Linked DNA regions of Callithrix jacchus. The protein of the gene in region 2 binds, or shares a complex with, the protein of the main gene of each other region. Links are inferred from orthologs where the notes say so. Each region holds a gene or a part of one and is shown on either strand. Other genes may lie near its edges.

Region 1 (7,503 bases), on a different chromosome or scaffold from region 2:
CACCCCCAGCAGTGCGTGTCGTTGTCATCTCTAGCTAGACACCTGCAGGTGGCAGAGCCCCTCACCAACCCCACTTCTCAGGTGGGTGAATGAAGGGCGGTTCGAATGAAGGACCCCCAGTCCTACTGCCCCTCCCAGGCAGGGGCTACTCACACTGACTTCCTTCCCCAGGCTGACAGAGGCCAGGACACGCTTCATTCCTTCCCCGCTTCCAATCTGCCAGATGGATGCCTCCGCAGCTTGGTTCTTCAAGGGCCAATCTCTCGCTTGCAGCTCATACCAGACAGTCCTGTGGAGACCCAGCCGTGGCCATGAGCTCTGGGGCCGCTCTGCCCAGCTCACATGCAGGGGCTCTTGCAGCCATCACCCAGCCAGAGGATCAGGACACTTCTCTAACCTTCCTCACTCATTTGGCTTCAGGGGATGCGACGATGGCCTCCTGGAGGCTCCTCCCAGCCTTGGAGGACCTGGGCCCTGTGCTGTCATGCGGTGGGAAGTCTGAGACGGCATGGGTGGTCATTCCGACCTCAGCACAACCCAGCTCTGCCACTTTCTACTGGCTCCTGGTAAAACGGCTTCACCTCAGTGGGGCTGATGCCTCTTGTCACAGGGTTGTTTGAGGAGTACTGAAGTGCCAAGCCCAGCACCTGGCACACATGCGTGCTCAGAAAAGGATACAGTTAAAGGTCAGGGAAGAAGGATGGTGCCAAGGCCACCCCACTGGGAAGGACACCCAGAGACAGCACAGGGGACTGGGGCGGTGAGCCTTGCTTAGCTTCTCCACGTCCCCTTGGCTGTCTCGACTTAGGATGGGCCTTTCTCCATCAGATCCACACTGTCCAGTAGGGGAACCTCTTGCCATATGGGGGCTATTGGCTGGATGAAATGTACACAGTTGAATGGAGGGGTAATCTGGGCAGTTAACACACACCAGAGTTTAAAGACTAGTAGGAAAAAAGAACATAAAATACCATATTCCATATTAATTTGTATGTTGATTACATGTTGAAATAATATTTTGGATATGCTGAGTTAAATAAAATATATCATTTTATAATATATAAAATATAAACAGGGGAAACTAATTTCGCCCATCTCTTTTTTTAATGTGGCTATTAGAAAACTTTAGCTTCTATATTGGGCTCACATTACATTGCTACTGGTCAGCACCCAGCTCTCTGTGGGGTACCAGAGCCTGGCTGGCAGGACGCCCACCTCCCCCAGCCTGGGAGGGACAGTTCTCCGTCAGCTCTGGCGAGCGTCCTTGCAGATCAGCTGGGTGGGGCTGACGGCCAGTGTTAAGCATGGAAGGCAATGACCTACCTTAGTCCTCAGGAAATGACCTTGTGGGGAGGAGCTATTCTTCTCTGCATCTTACTCACGGGGAGGCAGAAGGTCAAGGATGTGGTCACCCAGCAAGTAGCAGAGCCAAGACTCAAGACCAGGTGGAGTTTTACTCCAAAGTCTGGGTTTTCAACACTTAAAAGCCTGCCTCCCTCTGCCACGGATGGCCACCAGGGCCCTACTCACCCAAATGCATAGACGTCAGCAGCTTTGGAGAATGGGAGCTGATCCTCGTCCTTCCCAGGGGTCATCTCACGCACGATCTCTGGGGCCAGATAGCACAGCCAGTCGTGGGACAGCTTCAGCTGGTTCTCACGCCTGGAGACCAGGAAGTCAGGGCAGGGACACAGGCATTTCAGCAAGCAGCCAAGAGGCCTGCCTGGCTCAGGTCTGTCCCAGGGCCAGTAGAGCACCCACACACAGCTTAGAGAACACACCCAGAGCCAGCACGCTGACCCCGCACTTGGGAAAGGCACCGGTGCTTTTGAGGAATTCTACAAATGAGTCATGACCGGGTGTTTCTAGAAAAGTGGGGCAAAAACGGATACATATTGACAGTGAGGAGCCTGTGAAGGTGCGCAGTTCTCTGCTAGGAGAATGGGGCACTGCTCTAACCAGGAACCCCGATCTGCCTGTGGATCTCAAACCTGCCTGGGACAGGTCCTGCAGCCTCACTGCCATGTTCCCTTTCAGGGTTCCCCAGATACCAGGGGAGGGTCCTTTCTCCCCACCCCGACCCCTTCAAGATCTGCGGAAATAAAATGACGCTCTTCCTCATCGTGGGGAAATGAATCCTGGGTCCTTGGCCAAGCTGGTGAACAGCCAGGGCAAATATGAGTGTGGTGACCTGTTCTCCAGGAAGCCAGCCTGAGAATCCAAACATGACCCAAATCTGATTCTGAACCAGAACTACAAGAGCAGGACCAAAGCGACCTGAACTTCTGCAGGGAGAGCTGCAGCTCAGCAACAAACAGTAAAGGGCCCAGACCTCAGGCCTGCCCTTCCCCACCCAGCATCCCCGTCCCACCCAGACACCCAAGACCCACTCACCGTCCCTCTCGGACCACGCCCGAGATCCCGAACAGCCCGAAGTCTGTGATGACCACCTTGCCGTTGTCATAGAAGACGTTCTTGGATTTGAGGTCTTTGTGTACGATGCCCTTAGCGTGAAGATACCCCATGCCCTGGAGGACAGTGAGCCCCAGATCAGGAGGAGTGAAGATGTGTGGTGATGACGGAGCTGCCACCCTGGGCTGGATGCTCTACCCAAAACCCCTCATTTGATCTTCACCATTCCATGCAGTATACTGTCCCCATTTTACAGAATACAGCGAGGTTCAGAGAAGGAAAGTCACTTGTCCCAAGGCACACAGCAGTGAAGGAGCAGAGCTGAGATCTGACCCCAGATGGGTCCATGCTCTTTTAATGTTACCATGCTTCCAAATAGCCACCTTAACCTTGGATAAGGTAGGGGGTATGAACAGGGTGAAGGGCAGGGAGCCAGGGGGGTCAGGAACAGTGAGATTTTCTGTGTTAAGTCGTGAAGGGCCTAAAGGAGCTGGGGTTTTCTGTCAGGATATGCATCACTGGTCTCCACTCTCAGGCAGGGCCAGGGCTCAGGGCAGGGGAACAGAGAGGCATTCCCACAGAGGGGTTCCCAACTTGGGATGTTCCTAATATCTGAGCTGTAGAAGGAGCCCTGGACTAAAACTGAAATCTGGGGTTTGAATTCCATCTCAGCTCAGAGTCTCACTCACTCTGTGGCTGTGGACACAGTGCTCAACGCCTCTGAAGCCTGGTTTCTTATCTACCAAGTGAAAGGTGGCAGTGGGTGATTTCTAACCAATGCTCTATTTGAACTGAGCACTGATGAGGCAGGTACATGGAACGTGGGTGACCCGACACAGGCATGATCTCAACCAAGGTCAAGCTTCTTCAAACACCAGACCCAGGGCTCCTGTGCACCCCAATGCATAGATTATTGCATTTTTAACCTAACATCAATCCAGAGAGGAGGCTATATGAGGATCCCCATTTTAAAGGAGAGAAAACTGAGGCTCAGAGAGGCTAAACAACCTGCCCAGACTCACACAGCGGGTGTGACCAGGATTGAAACTGTCTCTAAGGCCTGCCAAGTTCCTTCCCAAACAAGTCAATTCCATCAAGGCTGATCATATAGATGGTCAGCTCCCAGCTGTGAGTGAACGAGACAGGGAGGAGGAGACAGGGTCCCACCCTTGAGAAGCCTGAGCTAGAGGGAGAGGCAAAGCTGCCAAACTAACTTGACGGGGGCTGACAGAGTGGGAGAACAGCCGAGAGCCCTGGAACTGGCCAGAAACACACCCCCCAACAGCCAGACACCCCCTCACCTTGATGATCTCCTGAGCGATCTGCCTTGTCTTGTTGATGTCCAGAGACGTCTTGGGGTCCCTCACAAACGAGTGCAATGTCCGCCCCTTGCAAAAGCTGTTGAGGGTGGTGGTGGATCAAGCACAGGTCCCGGGCTGGTGCAGCCTGACCCTGTCCCTGGTGGAGCCCATGGGGAGAACTGTACCTGACTGCCTGCCTGCAAGGACTCTCTCCACCCCCTTAACTGTGAGCCAAATCTTCTTTAACCCAGCCGTTGGCTGCTGGGGTCTAGCTTGAACATGCAGAAACACATATGACGCCACGCACGTACACGCACACAAACCCCATTCCCTGAGAGCCAGTGCCTGCCTGTCCTACAACAGGAAACAGCGCATCAAAGCTCCCAGGAACTCAGAGTAGCCATGCTTGGTGGGTTCAAGGCAGGATCACTCTGATGGGGAAGAACTTGGCCTTTTAAGGCAATCACCAGGCAACATCAAGGCACTGGAGATCACTGTCTAGAGTCTCATTACAGTTTTCATTTTTTTCTTGATCATGGGATTTTTATAACAATAAAGGAGTGTGCAAGGAGGGAAAGGGGTAGGGGAGATGTTAGGGCACAGTGACTATTGGAAAAGAAGCCCGAGTTCTGGGGTCCCCACCTGCGTCACCTCCTAAAACCTAGGGCAAGGAGGGAGAATGTGGGGTCACTCCCCTGTTCCAGGGGAGCTATCTTAGGAAAGGACTATGATTTTAGAAAAATATTCTGGAGTCTCAGAGCCTTTGAAAACTGGGGGAGGGGCTGGGAGCAGCAGCTCATGCCTGTAATCCTAGCACAGAGCGAGACTCCTCCTCAAAAAAAAAAAAGAAAAAGAAAAAAAAGAAAACTGGGTGAGGGGTAAAGAGTATTGGTGATTTCCTTATCTGTGTATTCTAAACAAAGTAAGATTGTTTTGTTAATGAATGTTTTCCTGTTTCAGGCAGGTGACAGTGGCTCACACCTGTAATCCCAGCACTCTGGGAGGCTGAGGTGGGCGGATCACCTGAGGTCAGGAGTTTGAGACCAGCCCAGCCAACATGGTGAAAGCCCCTCTCCACTAAAAATGCAAAAATTAGTTGGGAGTGGTGGTGTGCACCTGTAATCTCAGGTACTTGGGAGGCTGAGGCAGGAGAACTGCTTGAGCTCAGGAGGTGGAGCTTGCAGTGAGCCAAGATTGCACCACTGCACTCCAGCCTGGGTGACAGAACAAGACCCTGTCTTGTGTTTCTTTAATTAATTACCTGTTTTGGTTTTTATTAATTTTGGAGACAGAGTCTTGCTCTGTAAATAAATTATGGGACCACCAGTGGTCAGCTCATGAGTGTTACATGACTCATTCCAATTCTTCTGCACTCCAGGGAGGTCATGCTAGCAGTCTGAAATTGACCATGGTGAGAATATTTATACCACAGGATGTGATGGATGTAACAAATTAGGGCTACCCTCCCTACTGACCCAAAACTGGTTGATACACATTTACCAGCACACCACCAGGTTCCGCCTCTGTGATGGGGATACCATGCATGTGTTAGAAGAGAGCAGACCTCAGACCCGTTATTGAGTGCAGAAGGCAAGGCATGAACCAGCATGATCTCTCCTTTGCATTTTTATAAGAAGCAATAAACAGTTTAAAAATGTGAGTATATGCTAATGTCTTCATTTTAACAGAAGGGATGTTAACTGTTTATAGTGTCTCTGACTTTGGGGAGAAGCGCTCAGATGCAGTGGGAGATGACTGGCTTTCACTCTGTATCTTTGATGGACATTTGTTTTTCTATAACCTTAGAAAGGTCTCACTCTGTCACCCAGGCTGGAGTGCAGTGGCATGATCTTGGCTTGCTGCAGCCTGGATCTCCTGGGCTCAAGTGATCCTTCTGCCTCAGCCTCCCCAGTAACTGAGACCACAGGTACCTGCCACCAGGCCCAGCTAATTTTTTTGTATTTTTTGTGATAGCATTTCACTATGTTGCCCAGGCTGGTCTCAAGCTACTGGGCCCCAAGCAATCCTTCCACCTTGGCCTCCCAAAGTGTTGTGATTATAGGCATGAGTCACTGCACCAGCCCGTATTTATTTATTTTTTAGTGTCAGTGAGGTTATGTGAGTAGGAAGTTACATCCCATTTTTGGTTTTCTTCCTTGTACCTCTATTAGAACTTCCACACCTTCGAGGGCATCCAAACAACGTGGCTCCCTGGGAAGGGGGAGGCTGAGTCGGCCACCCAGCATGAGGGCCTGGGGCTGGGTTACCTGGTGATGATGGCCAGGTGGGGTGGGTTCATGCAGGCCCCCATGAAGAGCACCACGTTCTCGTGCCGTGTCTGCCGGTAGTTCATCACCTCTTTCTTGAAGAGCTTCAGGTGGTCCTGGTTGTGGCCATCCATCTCCAGCAGGCGAATGGCCACCTCGCCATGCCAGCGGCCGCGGTGCACCCGGCCCCAGCGGCCCTGCCCGATGGGCTCGCCCAGCTCTACCTGCTCGAAGGGGATGTCCCACTCCTGCAGGTACACACTGGTCTGGCTGGCCTTACGAGAGATGGGGCCCCGCCAGGGCCGGCGAGAGCTCGGCAAGTCGTCCACCTCGTCCTCGTCGTCTTCTGCCTCTGACTTGCCAGCCTCTGGCTCCTCAGCCTGAAAGGAGAGCAGGGAGAACAGGCATGGGCAGAAGATCTGGGCTCCGTGACTTCTCTTCCCTCTCCTGGAGCCACTGCCGGGTAAGGGAGGAGAGAGGCTTCCTGCCAGGGCACCCAGCTGCTGTGGACAGCGGGCGGCTCACTTAGCATCACTGGACCTCAGTGTCCTCATCCTTAATATGTGGCAGTTGGCCCCAGCGAACTGAGGCCCTTTGTCTGGCTAATACTCCAAGACCTACCTGTGAGCAACATCTAATTGTCCAGGGAAGAGCAAGAGCAGCCCTGGCATAGAAGAATTTCACTACACCCATCCTTCTGGAACTCTTGTTTAAACAGAGTTTCTGATTCTCCCTGGGCAGGAGTAAATCAGTCTGTTAACATTCTCCAAGCCATAATGCAATGGAGGGGATCCAGGCTCAGTTGACACTCATGTTCAAGGTTCAAGGCAGTGGTTCACTTATGTAATTTCTTAACCTCTCTGGGCTGGCTACAATCACCTGGGGAGCGTGGGGAAGACAGAGCTTGGACAAGCTTGCTCCATGACAGTCATCATCGTTCCTCCCTGCCATGAACCTCTACAGTGGGCGTCTGGGACAGCCCTTGCCAGGGCCCAGCGCCCACCCCACTCACTCTCAAGCCCCCTGCATATTCTGAGATGGGGAAGGGAGAAAAGAGGGAGGGGCCATCTGTGGACTCATGTGTGTCACCCTCACCTCTGCTTCGTGAGCCTCCAACACGTCTGCTTTCGGCTGATCGTTGAACCTAAGAGTAAAACAGGGTTTGTCAATGAGACCTTGAGGGAGGCCACTCTGCTCTCATATGGCAGGACTCCTGGGTGAGGCCTGAGACTAAGGTCTTTAATCTGACTCACACCTGGCTAAGGGAAAGGCCATGTGGATACCGCACAGACAGGCAGGAGGAGGCTGAGAGCCAGGCCTGCCCCTGTGCGGCCTCAGCCTTCCTCAGGCTAACTTGAAGGTGGTGGGGGCTGAGAGGTGGGCAGTGATCCCCAAAGCCCCTTTCCAGATGTGATACTGCTGCACGGGGGCTCCGAGCACACCCACAGGATTTGGAATCTGACGGCCTTGACTTGAAGAACTGGCTCTATCGCTTCCTAGCTGTGTGACCTTATGTAATTTCT
Region 2 (7,503 bases):
GTTAGCGATCAGCCATCTTGGATCGTTCTCCTTAGTTATTTTAAAAAACATTTTTTTTTTTTTTTGAGACAGAGTTTCGCTCTTGTTTCCCAGGCTGGAGTGCAATGGCGCGATCTCGGCTCACCGCAACCTCCGCCTCCTGGGTTCAGGCAATTCTCCTGCCTCAGCCTCCCGAGTAGCTGGGATTACAGGCACGCGACACCATACCCAGCTAATTTTTTGTATCTTTAGTAGAGACGGGGTTTCACCATGTTGACCAGGATGGTCTCGATCTCCCGACCTCGCGATCCACCCGCCTCGGCCTCCCAAAGTGCTGGGATTACAGGCTTGAGCCACCGCGCCCGGCCTATTTTTAAAATTTTAAGTTCAGGGGTACATGTGCAGGATGTGCAGATTTGTTAGCATAGGTTAAACGTGTGCAATGGTGGTTTTCTGCACAGATCATCCCATGACCTAGGTATTAAGCCCAGCATCTATTAGCTATTCTTCCTGATGTTCTCCCTCCTCCCCGACCACCCATCGACAGGCCCTAGTGTGTGTCATTCCCTCCCGTGTGTCCATGTGTTCTCCTCATTCAGCTCCCACTTATAAATGAGAACATGTGGTATTTGGTTTTCTGTTACTGCATTAGTTTGCTGAGCATAATGACCTCCAGCTCCACCCATGTTCCTGCAAAGGGCATTATGCTTGTTCTTTTTTATGCTGCACAGTATTCCATGATGTATAGAAGAGAAATCTGAAATGTGGCAAGGTTAAGTGACTTTCCCATCCATGGTCACTTAGCTAGTTGATGAACAATTTGGGGTAAGAATCCAGTACTCTTGAACACCAGTGATTCGTTAATTTTCCAACACTATTCCATCTCCAGTCGTCACCCATACACACCTGCCATTAGGAAGGTCTTTGCCATTTCTCTCTCTGGCCACCTTCTGAAAGCACAGATCAGAAGCCAGTTCCTTAGCTGATGGGGTGGGTGGATAAATAGCAGGGCCTAGGAGGTAGAGGAGGGAGAAAGGTAGCACAAAGCCCAGACTTAGATTTTCCTCCAGAAGGTGTAAGAATTATTTATTTCAAAGAGTCAGGAAAGTGAACAGAGTCAGCATTCCCTTTTCCTTGGCAAATGGATTGAATTTCTTGTGGCGAGTATTAGCTGCAAGGCAGTGTTAATCTGCTTCAGTAGATCCATCATCTGATTGATGTGCATGGGAGACAGGATTGTCCATGGTGCAAAGACCTCTTTGTGTAGGGCACACCACCTTTATGCATGATTGAGCCCTGGTGTGTTAAATGCCTCACACAAGGATCTTACCTACATTTGTCAGTTGCCTCCCTTGAAAGTATTGAGCTTTTTGAAGGTAGTATAGCATCATGGTTAAGGTGAGAGATTAGTTCTCTCTGCCTGAATTTGAATCCTCGCTGTGCCACTTACCAGCTGTTTGATCTTTGACATCTTAGTTCACCTGTGTGTGCTTGAGTTTGCTTATCTGTTCTAATTGGGGGTTGTGGCTTAAATGACTTAATAAATGTAAAGCACTGAGGAGAGTACACAGTGTTGTGAGGAAAGCAATTTTTCTTCCATGCAGCCCTCCTTCCCTTCCCCCATCATGCACACTCTGTATGTGTGTGTGTGTGTGTGTGTGTGTGTGTGAGTGAGAGAGAGAGAGAGAGAGAGAGAGAGAGAGAGAGAGAGAGACAGCTTTTGGAATCTGTATTTCTCACCGGCCCGCTGAGCCCTCCAAGTAGCTGTAACCTCATTGAAGTTTTACCTGTGGTGCCCATCTGCATTTGAAGTGTGTTTCTAAATGTGGTCCTCAGCAAGCTCCTTTGTGGGGAGAGCTGGGAGAAAGGAAACCAGAGAGTATGCTCTGTACACCCCCAGCCACACATGTTCTGGGTTCCCTCACTCTAGAGACTGGGGACACTGCGAGACATAGCTGAACCTTCTAGCAGGATGAAACTATTGAGTAGCTGTCTCAGTTTGCTTGGACTGCTGTGATAAAATGTCATAAAATAGGTAGCTTAAACAACAAGAATTTATTTTCTCACTGTTCTGGAGGCTGAAAGTCTTAAGAGCAGGGGGACAGCATGGTCGGGTTCTGGCGAGAGTCCTCTTCCTGGCTTGCAGACAGCTGCCTTCCCACTGTGTGCGTGCATGGCCTTTCTTTGATGTGTGCAGCTGGTGGGGGTGGGGGGTATATCAGTGAGGAAAATCAGTACCCTCAGCCTTGCTTCCTCTTTGGCTGCATGTGTGATGTTATTTGTAAGGCAGTGTCGGATCACCTTATTAGGTCTCCATTTCCTTGTCTTCTAGAGGTTTGGGATAGAGGTTGTGAAGGAAGAGCAGATTATGCTTATTCTGCCTTTTAAGCTCAGAACTGGGGTGTGTGTGTTGGCGGGAACATCCACATGATGATATATAATGAAGGCCTATCTTGTCACCTGTGTCACTGCAGCCACCCCACACAATTGTCACTGACACGCTTTGCCTCACAGGACTTCAATTTGAGACCCAGTGAAATCCAGTGAAACACACAGTGCAAACTGTCTTACCACTTTCCTGTTAACCAACTCCAGGAGTGATGAACACTTTTCAGTTCCCTGGATGGAACATGCTGAGCAATGCCCACAGCATGCTGAATGCACAGCTGGCAGGCAGCTCTCTGCCGTACCCACTCGCTTCAGCACCCACTGGCTGAATTATTTGCTTACCAAGAGCCAGCTTGTTCTCAAACGCATTTGTTCAGCTGTAGCTGGTATTGTAGTTAAATAATGTATTTAAGTATTAGATAAATTGATGAAATATAACTGCAAATGAAATGATTTTTTCCCTTTTTTTTCCCCTATGAACACCAGTTAAAAGCTGTGGAAAGACTCACAAGTCCAAGTCATTAAAACACATTACTGTCAAACTAGATGAATGTTAGGATTGGGGGAAATCATACTCTAATTTTTTTTTTTTTTTTTTTTTTAAACAATGAACAGGAATTTATTGGCTTATGGTTCTAGAAGCTGTTAAATCTAAGACTGAGGGGCCAGCATGGGTAAGGGCATTCTTGCTGTATCATCTTATGGTGGAGGGGCAAAAAGAAAGCAAGAGTGGGCTGAACTCATCCTTTTATAAGGAACCATTCCCGAGACAACAGCATGAATGGTCATAAGGGCAGTGAGCTTGACCCAAACACTTGCCATTAGGGCCAGACCTTTCAACACAGCTGCACTGGTGAGCAAGTTTTTAACACATGAGCTTTGTGGGACACATTTAAACCGTAGCATGCCTCAAGAAGGTAGAAAAAGAAATAATCCCAAAGCAAATAGAAAGAAATAAGATAAGAACAGAAATTGATATAATTGAAAAAATGAAAACAATATAGAAAATATAATATTTCTTTCTTTCCAATCTATATGACTCCTATTTCCTTTTGTTGTCTTTTTGCACTGGCTAGATCATTCAGCACTATGTCGACTTAAGTGTGGTAAGAGTGGACATCCTTGCCTTGATCTTACAGGAAAATATTCAGGCTTTCACTATTTTTTTTTCTTTTAATTGCATTTTAGGTTTTGGGGTCATACATACATAAAATTTTGTACTGTGATTACTCTGCAAGTTTCTACATTTCTAGTCAACTTAAACATCATGAATAGGAAATTGTCAACCATGTATTATGTTCTGGTCCATGTGAGAAGGGTGATGTGGACCTCTTAACCAGAGGGTCTTCTTTGGACCCTTATTCAAAGAGTCTCGCCCTATGTTAAAGAATGGATGAATGAATGAAGATTTATGTGCATTATGGAAAAATAATCATTTTAGATACATAATTTTTTATTTTTATTTTTTGCTGTGGCTTTTTTGATTAACCTGGTTACTGGACCTGGTTACATTGAAAATGAGGAGTTCTGCTGTTGTGATTCAGTTTAAAGTTGGTTTGATTTCGTTTTAGTGGATTTAGAGAATTTTATTTTGTATATGGTAAAAACAATAAAATCAACAGTAGTGGGGCTTTTTAAATTGAAGTTTTAAAGCAAATTAAGGTGGCCCATTCTGGATTTTAGTAGGTTCTTTGGTTCTTCTCATAGACTTGAAGCATATTGAGTCAGAAAGACCTGATTTTTTCATTTTATAAATGAGGAAATGGAAGCCCTGAGAGGTAAAGCGTTTTGGTGATAGTCATTAGCAGTGGCTGGAGTGAAGTGGGCAGAGCCACAGTGGGAGGGGCCTCCTCTCTAGCCTCCCACTTTAGTTCTCTGTCTGTCCCCAGAGCTGGAGCTTTCCGTGATAGGAGTGCTTTATTGGGTTGACTTCTCTGGTGATGGTATTGACTTTTACTCTCTGCTTTGTGACAGGACCAACCTGGAGGCCTTGCAGAAGAAGCTGGAGGAGCTAGAGCTTGACGAGCAGCAGCGAAAGCGCCTTGAGGCCTTTCTTACCCAGAAGCAGAAGGTGGGAGAACTGAAGGATGATGACTTTGAGAAGATCAGTGAGCTGGGGGCTGGCAATGGCGGTGTGGTTTTCAAGGTCTCCCACAAGCCTTCTGGCCTGGTCATGGCCAGAAAGGTGAGTTTGCTTTGATTAACAGGTAATTGGATTATCTCTCAGGTACCTAGAGGCCTGGGGACCAGGGTAGAAGGAAGACTGACTTTCCTCAATACCTCCTTGTGCTGTTTGAATTTCAAATGCATGTCATCTATGAGATTATGGATAAACACACTAATGACTGTGTTAGTGTATTAATCCCCATCCTGTCTGGAAAATAATAAGTGACTCTTCCTTAGCCTTCTGTGTGCTGTGGAAGGATGCCAGGGTATCTGTTTATTGCTTATCATGTGCACGAGAAGCTGCTTTCATTCACTTAGCCCCAGTGATACACAAAACATGGATTTCAAGTTGTTTCCCACTTGTGCCAGTAAATTCCCTTTATCTTCCTGCATTACAGCATCTGAACCCCCTGCCATAGCATGTACTCGTTGAGCTGGACCTCCCTTTCCTGTCTGCCTTGGTCCTCTTTTGGAACACAGCCCCCTGCTCCAGAGAGGTTGGGGTTTTTGATGTTTTTCTGCACACTGTGTTTACTCCCGTGCCCATATTTTTTTTGTGCTGTTGTTCCTTCTGCCTTTTCAAACAGTGCCCATCTTCTAGATACACCTCTTATCTAGCTTTCACCAGCTGCTCCAGCCCACACACTAGTAACAGCTGCATCCATGTTCTCTGACACTCATATCTGACATCCACCATGTGGGATTTTTTAGAAGTTCAATCTTACTATGTAACTTTTTAATGTGGCTGTCACTTGTCTCCCTAGCTGGAACAAGGGAAAATGTTAGGGTGACATAAGGTAGGACCTTAGACTTTGGCTCAGTCTCAACCACATCAGGCTCCTGAGCTCAAGGAAGAATCTCTTTGGCAGCCTAGTTTAGCATACTTGAGTTCCTCATACCCTTCTATTTCCACAACTCTTGAGTGTGAACCAAGTACTCAAGGTCAATTTCTCTTCATATTTGAGCTCCATAGTTTCTTTTGGAGTAAGCCCTTCGTTAACTTTGTTCCTGTCTTGGCTTCCAGGAGCTGAGGCACAGCTGGGACAGCCCCCAGTGCCAATGCCTGCCTTAGAACAGTGACACTCAGTTCTTGGTTCAGCAGAAACTTGTTTGTTACAACTTACCTGTTTCTCTTCCCCCTACCTTTAAGAGCTTAAACATTTAGCAAGACTACATATTTCGTCTCTCCTTTCCTCCTTTTTTCATAAAATCTCTCTTTCTTTCACCAGCTAATTCATCTGGAGATCAAACCTGCAATCCGGAACCAGATCATAAGGGAGCTGCAGGTTCTGCATGAGTGCAACTCTCCGTACATCGTGGGCTTCTACGGTGCATTCTACAGCGATGGCGAGATCAGTATCTGCATGGAGCACATGGTATGTGACACCCTCTCGGCCTCTGGAGCAATGGCTTTAAGAGTTGGGTGGCTCTGGCCTAATCTTTGGTCTGGGAGGTGACCAGCTGCCTCCATGCTGCTCCTGGGATCCACATCACTATCTAAGGCATCTGGGAAGTCTGACTGTAGGGCTTGGAATATTCACAAGACGGTAGGCCTCCTTTCTAGATCTTTGCCTCTCATCAAAGAAGTGGCAGTATTCCTGGTGGGTGTTCCTAGAGCATCTCTCTTAGTTTTTTGATTCAGATGACCCTAATATGTGATGTAAGTAAAATCTGGTAAATACAGTTTAAATCCATTTCTTCTGTACAATGTTGTATGCTAGGTGCAAGGCTCTGGGATTATGAAGATGATATAATCTACTGTAAGGGCACCTGAAGGGTTACTTTCGGTTTTTGCATGATGCTTATTAGTGGAAGGAGAGGGCAATGAAGTGAGAGGGCATTCATGGGCTAATTCATTATCTACATGTGAGCTGCCACTGATTTTACCACTGTATGCTGAAGCATGAGAATTGCTTAAACCCGGAAGGTGGAGGTTGTGTTATGAAGACTTCTGTGACCCAAAGTGTGGAGAGATTTTCTCTACACTCCAATCTACAGACACTACCTAGGTGTCCTCTTGTTCAGTTCCGACACTATCTACTGGGATATCATGTCAGATACCATGGGTTAAAGGTTAAAAAATTAGATGGACATGGTGGCGGACACCTATAATCCCAGCTACTCAAGAGGCTGAGGCAGGAGAATCTCTTGAACCCAGGAGGCAGAGGTTGCAGTGAGCTGAGATCATGCCATTACACTCCAGCAGGAGCGATAAGAGTGAAACTCTGTCTAAAAAAAAAAATTTTTTGTAAGCATATGGGAAAACTGGAAGGGAATGTACACCCATAAACCTACCACCTAGATTCTACAACTTATATTTTGATATATTTGGTTTACCACATATCCATTGTGCCAATTTTGGGGGGATGTGTGGGGTTTTGTTTTTATTTATTTTTTGAGACAGGGTCTTGCTCTGTTGCCCAGGCTGGAGTACAGTGGCACAATCTTGGCTCACTGCAACCTCTGCCTCCTGGGCCCAAGTGATCCTCCCACCTCAGCCTCTTGAGTAGCTGGGACTACAGGCACACGCCACCATGCCAGCTGATTTTTTTTTTTTTTTAATTTCACCACTATACAAAGAAGTATGATTTTTGTATTTTTAGTAGAAATGGGGTTTCACTGTGTTGCCCGTGCTGGTCTTGAACTCTTGGGCTCGAGCAATCCACCTGTTTCAGCCTCTCAAAGTGCTGGGATTACAGGTGTGAGCCACCACACCTGGCTCTGGGGATGTGTTTTAAAGTATATTTGCATCATCAGCATTGGTTGAGCCCCATCTTCTAGAGCACTCAGCCAGGGGCTGATCTTTCCTAGAAACAAGCTCTGTGTGCACTGTCCAGTCTGAATTTTGAAACCCAAGTAGGGAAATCAGTGCTCCCTGATTAGAACAGGAATGCTTTTGTCCTTGTGGAAGCAGATTCCTGCTCAGGTGGTAGCTGAGCAACCAGAGAACTGGGGATCCAGAGTTGATGA
Region 3 (7,503 bases), on a different chromosome or scaffold from region 2:
GCATCTGTACCCAACGTGTTTTCTTACTAAGAACAGAACTGCAGCTCATGAGCTTGTGAATGCAACACGCACACACACACACACACACACACACACACACACACACACACACAGAGTCTTTCAGTTCAATACAGTCTTTTTATTTCCATTCCACGTATCCTAATTCCATGTGATTGACAAGATCTACCTCAAACACTGGAAACTTTCAAATACATTCGATAATTCTCTCATCTTGGAATTCCCACCACACTCCATTTATCCAACTCATACTTAACTTTTGGCCTTGTTACTTTTAGCCTGTCTGCATAGTATCTGAATAGTAGCTTTCCTTCCTTCAGAAGGAATACAGTATTTCTTAAGGTCAGAAGCCATGGCAGTTTCAGTTCTATATCCCTCCGAAGGCCTAACACTGTTCCTGAACTCACATCTATTAAATAGTCACATGAATGACCAGACAAACAAGAACACTAAGATCTTTCCAAGAAATTCCAAATTTGAGCGAACTTCAGAGATCTGATTAGTTCTTTCCTGGCAAACACATAGACCTCTGAGGACTTGTCTACTTAGGGCAGTTAGGCCAATTTATAAGAAAGCTGCTACATGAGTTGAAACCGAAGCAAATAAAGAAAAATGAGCCCTGAGCAGCCCGGAAAATCAACTTAAAACAATGTCCTTGTGTACTGTTTTGTGTGTGTGTATGTGTGTGTGTGTGTGTGTGTGTGTGTATGTATGTTTCTGTGGTGAGCTTATGGATTATTTCAGACACAAGTGTTAAAATGAAATGTGAGAGAAAGGCTTGGTGGTGACGACTTCCCATCTGGGGATTCTTCATACATAGCTAAACTCAATACACAGAGCTACCTTTTCACCTAGGGATCACATTTATTTTTCTTTCTTTACAGCTTGGAAGGAAATCCATTACTTCAAATTGAAGTGGAGCCAACGTCAGAGGTGAGAATTGGAAAGCAGTGAAACAACATTTTCCAGGGGCTGCCCAGAACTTGGCAAAGCCGACTGATGTTTTCAATGATGCAGAGGGCTTGGGGTCAGGTGGGGGCTGCGGTGGTCCTGACTGATGGATGTTCTAACTCTGGGACAATTAGCAAGTGGTGGCCCCTCCCAGTATTGAGCCGAATGGGCCATTATATGGCGGGCATCATAGAAAAGCCAGTTGTGCGGAAATTGGCAAGAGATTTGCATTCTTAGTTGAAAGATCAGCTCAGGGCCAGGTGAATACCAAGGGAGATGTGCCCCGCTGCCTTCAAAACAATAGTGAGAGGAGATGGGGGCCTCAGGGATGCCAGGCTTGGAAGTGTTGAAAATGCTCTGGGGCTTCTTCTCACCTGCCTAAGCGGCTGCAGGACTATATAAAATGCCCTGTCTGGGAACCATGGAGTTCTGATCACTCAGCTCTGTCACTGCACTGTGTCTTGCACTGAAAGGAATAGAGTCAGGGCTTCCAAGGAAAATCGTATTCCTTTCTGGGACTATTTGGTTATTGGAAAATGATCCTGGGAGAAACCAACGTCTCCTATATTGTTTCCCCTGAGTGTGCCATCAAGGGTAGCTTGTTCAGGTATTTTGGGTCAGGAAGACCTGTACCCAGTCAAGAGGCCACCTTCTCAAGCTGTTTCATCAGGTCCCAGGGTCTCTGGGAATCCCCACTGGCCAGGCACCTGCGGCTCCCACAATTCTGCAGGAGAATCGAAGAGGCAATTCACCCCCAAACACCCCCAGATATCATGCTGATACGGTAGGGTCCCTGCATCTTGAGCACTGAACTCTATTGGTAGCCACGCCCAAGTATGCCTGAGTCATGTGGGTGCACATGGTAAAAATGCAGATTCCTGGTCCCGGCCTGCTGATATTTTCATCCAATAGAGCTGGGTAGGGCCCAGGAATCTGCATTTTCTCGGGCCTCCCAGTGAGTGTTTAGTACAGGTGGTCAGGTCTGTACAAAGAACTTAACAGGTCTTCATCTCATTTAAAACCTCACACTGCCCCTGGGGCAGATTTTATTACCCCCACTTTACAATCAGGAAAGGCAGCCTCAGAGAAGTCAGGCAACTTGCTCAAGGTCACACAGAGGCCGGATTTCAGCTCACTTGGTCTGATTGTTAAGCCCATTCTGTTAACCTCTCAATCTCATGTCTCCTACCTGCTCCTGGCTGCTGTAGGAGCCTCAGACATCTAGCCTGTAGCTCTGACCTCTCCCAATTTTTAAATCATCAATTCCAAATTCCCTGGGGAAGCAAAAGGTACTCCATGTTCATGGTTGTCACGTGTTACATGCAGATGCACGACGTACCCATTGTTTTAGCAAGTCTAACCTATCGGCTTTATCACATGCACATAAGCAACTTAACCAAAAGACCTTGGAAGAATAGGAAGGGCATGAGATATTCAAGTCCAGAGACCTGGATCTTAGTTCCTCCTCTGCCTGGCTATATGACCTGGAGTGAATCCTTCCCATGGCAACATAAGGGACTTTCGGTGCTAAAACCAGGAAGATCCCAGCAAACTAGAATGGGTGATTCTCCCCTAACACTGCTCTCTGTACCTCAGTATATCCCCACTTAGCACAAGAGAGTTAGACGATCATGATCTCCCTTTTAGCACCTTTACTGTAGTGTGATTCTAGACCAGAGCTACCTGGGGAAACAGAGGGATGTATGTCTTCACCAGCTCCAAATCCATGTAGAGATGTGTCAGGATCTATGCATGCACATGGGACCCCACAGGACCACGAGGGACGCTGAGGCAGTGGCAAGCACAATTCTGACCTCTCTCCCACTTCGGCCACAGAATGAAGAGGCCCATGATGAGGCCGAGGAGTCAGAGGATGACTTTGAGGAGATGAATCTGTCCCTCCTCTCGGCCCGGAGCTTCCCACGCAAGGCCAGCCAGACCAGCATCTTCCTTCAGGAGTGGGACATCCCCTTTGAGCAGCTGGAGATCGGCGAGCTCATTGGAAAGGGCCGCTTTGGGCAAGTGTACCATGGCCGCTGGCATGGTGAGGTGGCCATCAGGCTGATTGACATTGAAAGGGACAACGAGGACCAGCTCAAGGCCTTCAAGCGGGAGGTGATGGCCTACAGGCAGACGCGGCATGAGAACGTGGTGCTTTTCATGGGCGCCTGCATGAGCCCACCTCACCTGGCCATCATCACCAGGTCAGTTCCACCTGGGCTCCCACCCAGGGATTGCCAAAGCTCTGCTTCTGGCCTGGTTGAGAAATGGTTTTCTGCTTACTTGACCACTCTGGTTAATAGACCATCTCCAGTTCCAGCATGCACAGTTCACTTACATGGTTTAAGATTTCAGATTCCAGAAAATACTTAGTTAATTTATTTGGTTTTTTTAGAGACAGGGTCTCACTCTGTTGCCCAGGCTTGCATGCAGTGGTGTGATCATAGCTTACTGCAGCCTTGAACTCCTGGGCTCAAGAGATCCTTTCCCTTCAGCCTCCCAAGTAGCTGGCACTACAGGTGTGTGCTGTCACACCTGGCTAATGTTTTAATTTTTTGGTAAAGATGGGGGTCTCGCTATGTTGCCCAGGATGGTCTCAAACTTCTAGCCTCAAGCAATCCTCCTGCCTTGGCCTCCCAATTACAGGCCCGTAAGCCACCACACCTAACCTCAGAAAATACTTTTAATGCTAAAACTCTTCAGCAAAACCAAAAAGTACTAAATGAGGAATCAGAAACATCAGGTCTAGTTCCCCCTCTAGTCCAAGTATTTGCATAACAACTTCTCAAAGAGTCACTGTCTTCATATGTGAACTGAGTAGATTTCACTAAATCGGGAGTCAGCCAACTTTTTCTGTAAAGGGCCCAATAGTAAATATTTTCAGCTTCGTGGGTCATACAGTTTCTGTAGCAGCTACTGCACTTGGCCACTGGAGTCTGAAAGCGGCCATAGACAATCTGCAAATGAAATTGCAAGGCTGTGGCCCAATAAAACTTTATTTATAAACCCAGGAAGTGGGCTGTATTTGGCCCATGGGCCGTAGTCTGCAGACCCCTGATTAAGATTTTTTTTCATTTTGAGATGGAGTTTCACTCTTGTTGCCCAGGCCGATATGGCACGAACTCAGCTCACTGCAACCTCCATCTCCCAGGTTCAGGTGATTCTTCTGCCTCAGCCTTCTGAGTAGCTGAGATTACAGCGATGCGCACCATACCTGGCTAATTTTTGTATTTTTGGTAGAGACAGGGTTTCACCATGTTGGTCAGGCTGGTCTCACACTCCTGACCTCAGGTGATCCACCTGCCTGGGCCTCCCAGAGTGCTGGGATTACAAGTGTGAGCCAAGATTCTGATAACTATTATTCTGGTTTTCATGAAAGTTGCAGAGCACATTTGCAGTCTTTACCGTTGTGGTTTGGAATATCCAGGATCTGTGGTCTATGGATACACAGAAGGGATAGTTAATAGAGAACTAACATTGTGAGAATGTTTCTGGGACTTTCTTGGACTTGCTCTCTGGCTTCTCCCAGTGACTTGAGGCTTGGGGAAAAATAGCTTTGGTTTCAATGGAACGGTTGTGAAACAATCCTTTGGTGTGTTTTTAAACTCTGGCACTGGTTCTCTTGTAACATTAGGACTGGCCTCTGCAGTGGCATTCTTAATATGACCTGTGATGCCAAGGGCCAGTTAGGAGCTCTCTCCTTCCTCTACTTAGCTTAAGCAGTGACACCCCAAATGCACAAGCCTCGCGTCTTGGCAGGCCCAAAGCAGATGCTGTGAGCTCAGAGAAGAGCTGGTGTGTCTTTGATCTCTTCCCATGTGAGACAAAACCTCCTTGAGTCCACTTATAAGAACTTGGTGATTGGTAGAAGGTGCATTATATTCTGTATCCATAGATTATGCAGACGATGCATTGACTGGAGTGACTCGTGCTTTGAATGGTAAGTGCTGGCGAAAGATTGCCGATCTGGGAATGGGCCTCCAACTCTTCTTAAATCAGGGGAAAGCTGGTGGTTCTCAACTCTGCACCAGACGGAAGTGGCTTTGAAGAAATCAGCCCAGGTAATCTTCAGGGGCTGAGCTGTTCTGAGCATAAGCTTTTGCTGAGTAACAAACTACTCCAAAACGTAGTGGTTTCTCTATGGACAGTTCTGGGCTGAGCCAGACTCAATAGCTGAGCTCTTATAGATGACTGTGGTCAGCTCTGGGTCAACAAGGGGATAATCAGTGTTAGATGCCCTCATTCATATGTCTGCTGGTTGGCAGACTGTGAGGGATAACTAGGCTATCCCTAACAGCCTAGCTCAGGCTCATTCTCCTGGCAGTCTCAGGTTTCCACGTGCAGTGAGAGGTCAAGACCCATATCTGTTGGCCAAAGCAACTCCTATGCTCCACTAGATTCAAGGCATGGAGACAGAGCCTCTACCTCTGAATGGGAAGATCTGCAATGTCCCACTGCAAGGACATGGATGCAGTGTAGGGACAATCTGGCTCTTTTTGCAGTCTACTACAGAGAGACCCTCAGCTCCCTTTCCTTCCCTTTCTTACCCAGTATATATCATCATCTTTTAGCAGCAGTCAATAGTCTATTACTTGGGATACACAAGTCTGGTTGGAAGGTGGTCTTCTCCCCACCCCTGGCCTTCTCCCCATTGCTCCCATCTTAAGCTCTTACCCCATCTTTCTCTCTGGTCAGCTCCTCACCACCCGCCTGCCTCTCTCTTCAGCATTATCTATGGAGCCTAACACCCATGACTCCCTCACCCTCTTCTCGAAGGCTAGCAAGTTGGAAACAGACAAACTCAGCAGCCATCCTTGATAACGAGTGGTCGTTATGAAAATGTGTTGCTCATCCTGCAAGCCAGCTGCATTTGCGGCCCCCTTCTATTGTGTACAAAATTCTGAGCCCCCCTCCCTAAGCACCATAACTGCCTACAGATTTCACAAATAGCCCAGCCTTTTCCTGGCACCATGATAAAGACTCTGCAGCTTTGGGACGTGTAATTGGTCTCTGAAGTGTTTTGGTATTTTGTGTGAGGATGCCAGATGAGCCCCAAAGAAGTGGCATTGATTCCATATTATTGTGTTGTTATATATTTATCTTAGGGAGGGACTCTGTGCATCCCTCTCTCCCATTCAGCCCTGTCCACTTGTTGGCTCTCCAGGTTTCTTATCTGCACGTTCAGTTTGAAACCAAATATTTGAGTAATTTGATTAATCACTTGCATTTGCACAATTGGCTGGCAGAGGTTGATGGTTGGATGATAGCCAACCAACTGGAACCATTTTGGGACCCTAGATTTATCTTACAGGGAACATAAGACCAGATAATTACCTGGCATATTCTGGATCAATCCACAATGGCGCATTCTAGCCAATTACCTAGTAATTATCATCGAAGTTAACAAGTACTTCTAAGATTAGCTTCCTTGCAATGCAGTATGTGTGGCTCTTAGGGAATGAGTAATAACAAACTAGTTACCCAATTGCTGTAGCCACAAATGCTATTAGCAGCAGGATTGCTAGATTGTTTCACGATTGAGTCATTATGGGATTATGGCAAAGCTATTCACCGTCTGCACAATCACTCGTGTTAAAAACTCCAAGTGAAATGTGAAAGCCAATAGAGTTGAGTGAAAGTGTCTCTCACCCTTCTGCCTTGCTACCTGGGGTTTCATAAGCCTTAGTTTCTCCTTCTGTAAAATGAACAGGTGGAAGCAGATATTTGTTGCAGTGTCCTTCCAACTCTGACAGTATTCTTTGCCTGTCTGATAATGAGCTGTGTTTGAGAAGCAGCTGGGAACAGGTCTTGAGCAGCGCATCTCAAAGATGGTGTACCTGGACCTTCCTACACCTGTCTTAGGAGAGGAAAGTTGTAAAAATGCAGATTCTGGAAAAAGACTGTGATGGTGACAGGCAAGGGCAAAGGGGAGAAGGTGAGGGTAGAGAAGCCGTCAGGAGCAAGACTTGGAGAAGGCAGGGTTTCTCAAGCCTGGTGGAGGAAGGGGAGCTTTTAATACAGTTAACAGTGCCTGGCCCTGCCCCAGAGCAGAGTCTCTCATCTTCAGCACTATTAATCTTTGGGGTCAGAAAAGCCTTTGTGGTGGCGGCTGTCCCATGCACTGTAGGATGTTTGGCAGCATCCCTGGCCTCTACCCACTAGATTCCAGTAGCACCAGGCACCAAGTTGTGACAACTAGAAATGCCCCTGAGACATTGCCCAGCGTGCAGGGGACTCTATCACACAGCCAGGTTTGAAGCCCTCTGTTGTAGAATCCCTGGTGAAGAGTCCTGATTTTACGCCAAAGGCAGTGAGCAGCCATTGGAGGGTTGTGGGAAGGGGTGCGGCATGGTGGTGGTGGAGGACAGCAATGAGGAAGCCTCAGAAATGAAGGGTGGGCACATAAAGGGAGATATTTTGCCCAGTGCAAAGGCAGCAACAGTTCTAGGAAATGATCCGCTTATCTGCCCTAACTTCCCATTATAATCAAAGAGCTGATGGTCTTGGTGGACACCCAGCGTCCTTCCTTTCACT

Evidence for each region. The genes of interacting proteins can lie anywhere in the genome.
Region 1: the proteins of MAP2K1 (region 2) and KSR1 are in contact, whole or in part, in a crystal structure (PDB 9AXH), measured with the Homo sapiens proteins. The link is inferred for Callithrix jacchus from reciprocal best matches to the Homo sapiens genes MAP2K1 and KSR1. Residues at the interface, in NP_002746.1 of Homo sapiens: Asp217, Ala220, Asn221, Ser222, Phe223, Val224, Gly225, Thr226, Arg227, Ser228, Met230, Arg234, Leu235, Gln236, Gly237, Met308, Ala309, Ile310, Phe311, Leu314, Asp315, Val318, Asn319; in XP_011523731.1 of Homo sapiens: Asn767, Gln768, Leu769, Lys770, Leu771, Ser772, His773, Leu776, Val784, Arg785, Met787, Thr788, Pro789, Asn823, Gln824, Ala825, Ala826, Glu827, Ala828, Ser829, Ile830, Trp831, Gln832, Gly834, Ser835.
Region 3: the proteins of MAP2K1 (region 2) and KSR2 are in contact, whole or in part, in a crystal structure (PDB 7UMB), measured with the Homo sapiens proteins. The link is inferred for Callithrix jacchus from reciprocal best matches to the Homo sapiens genes MAP2K1 and KSR2. Residues at the interface, in NP_002746.1 of Homo sapiens: Val81, Glu102, Met219, Ala220, Asn221, Ser222, Phe223, Val224, Gly225, Thr226, Arg227, Ser228, Met230, Arg234, Leu235, Gln236, Gly237, Met308, Ala309, Ile310, Phe311, Glu312, Leu314, Asp315, Val318, Asn319; in NP_775869.4 of Homo sapiens: Lys674, Arg818, Asp820, Lys821, Leu822, Arg823, Ile824, Gln825, Asn826, Ile837, Arg838, Gln839, Leu840, Ser841, Pro842, Gln877, Pro878, Ala879, Glu880, Ala881, Ile883, Trp884, Gln885, Gly887, Thr888, Met890.

Annotation. Positions count from the first base shown.
Region 1 is NC_133506.1:105,820,240-105,827,742, forward strand, and holds part of KSR1 (kinase suppressor of Ras 1), read right to left. Parts: intron 7,125-7,503; coding exon 7,076-7,124; intron 6,361-7,075; coding exon 5,981-6,360; intron 3,811-5,980; coding exon 3,714-3,810; intron 2,529-3,713; coding exon 2,395-2,528; intron 1,663-2,394; coding exon 1,531-1,662; intron 290-1,530; coding exon 154-289; intron 1-153.
Region 2 is NC_133509.1:13,471,942-13,479,444, forward strand, and holds part of MAP2K1 (dual specificity mitogen-activated protein kinase kinase 1), read left to right. Parts: intron 1-4,341; coding exon 4,342-4,552; intron 4,553-5,762; coding exon 5,763-5,909; intron 5,910-7,503. UniProt on the Homo sapiens protein: Dual specificity protein kinase which acts as an essential component of the MAP kinase signal transduction pathway.
Region 3 is NC_133510.1:120,567,790-120,575,292, reverse strand, and holds part of KSR2 (kinase suppressor of Ras 2), read left to right. Parts: intron 1-902; coding exon 903-951; intron 952-2,805; coding exon 2,806-3,173; intron 3,174-7,503. UniProt on the Homo sapiens protein: Location-regulated scaffold connecting MEK to RAF. Has very low protein kinase activity and can phosphorylate MAP2K1 at several Ser and Thr residues with very low efficiency (in vitro).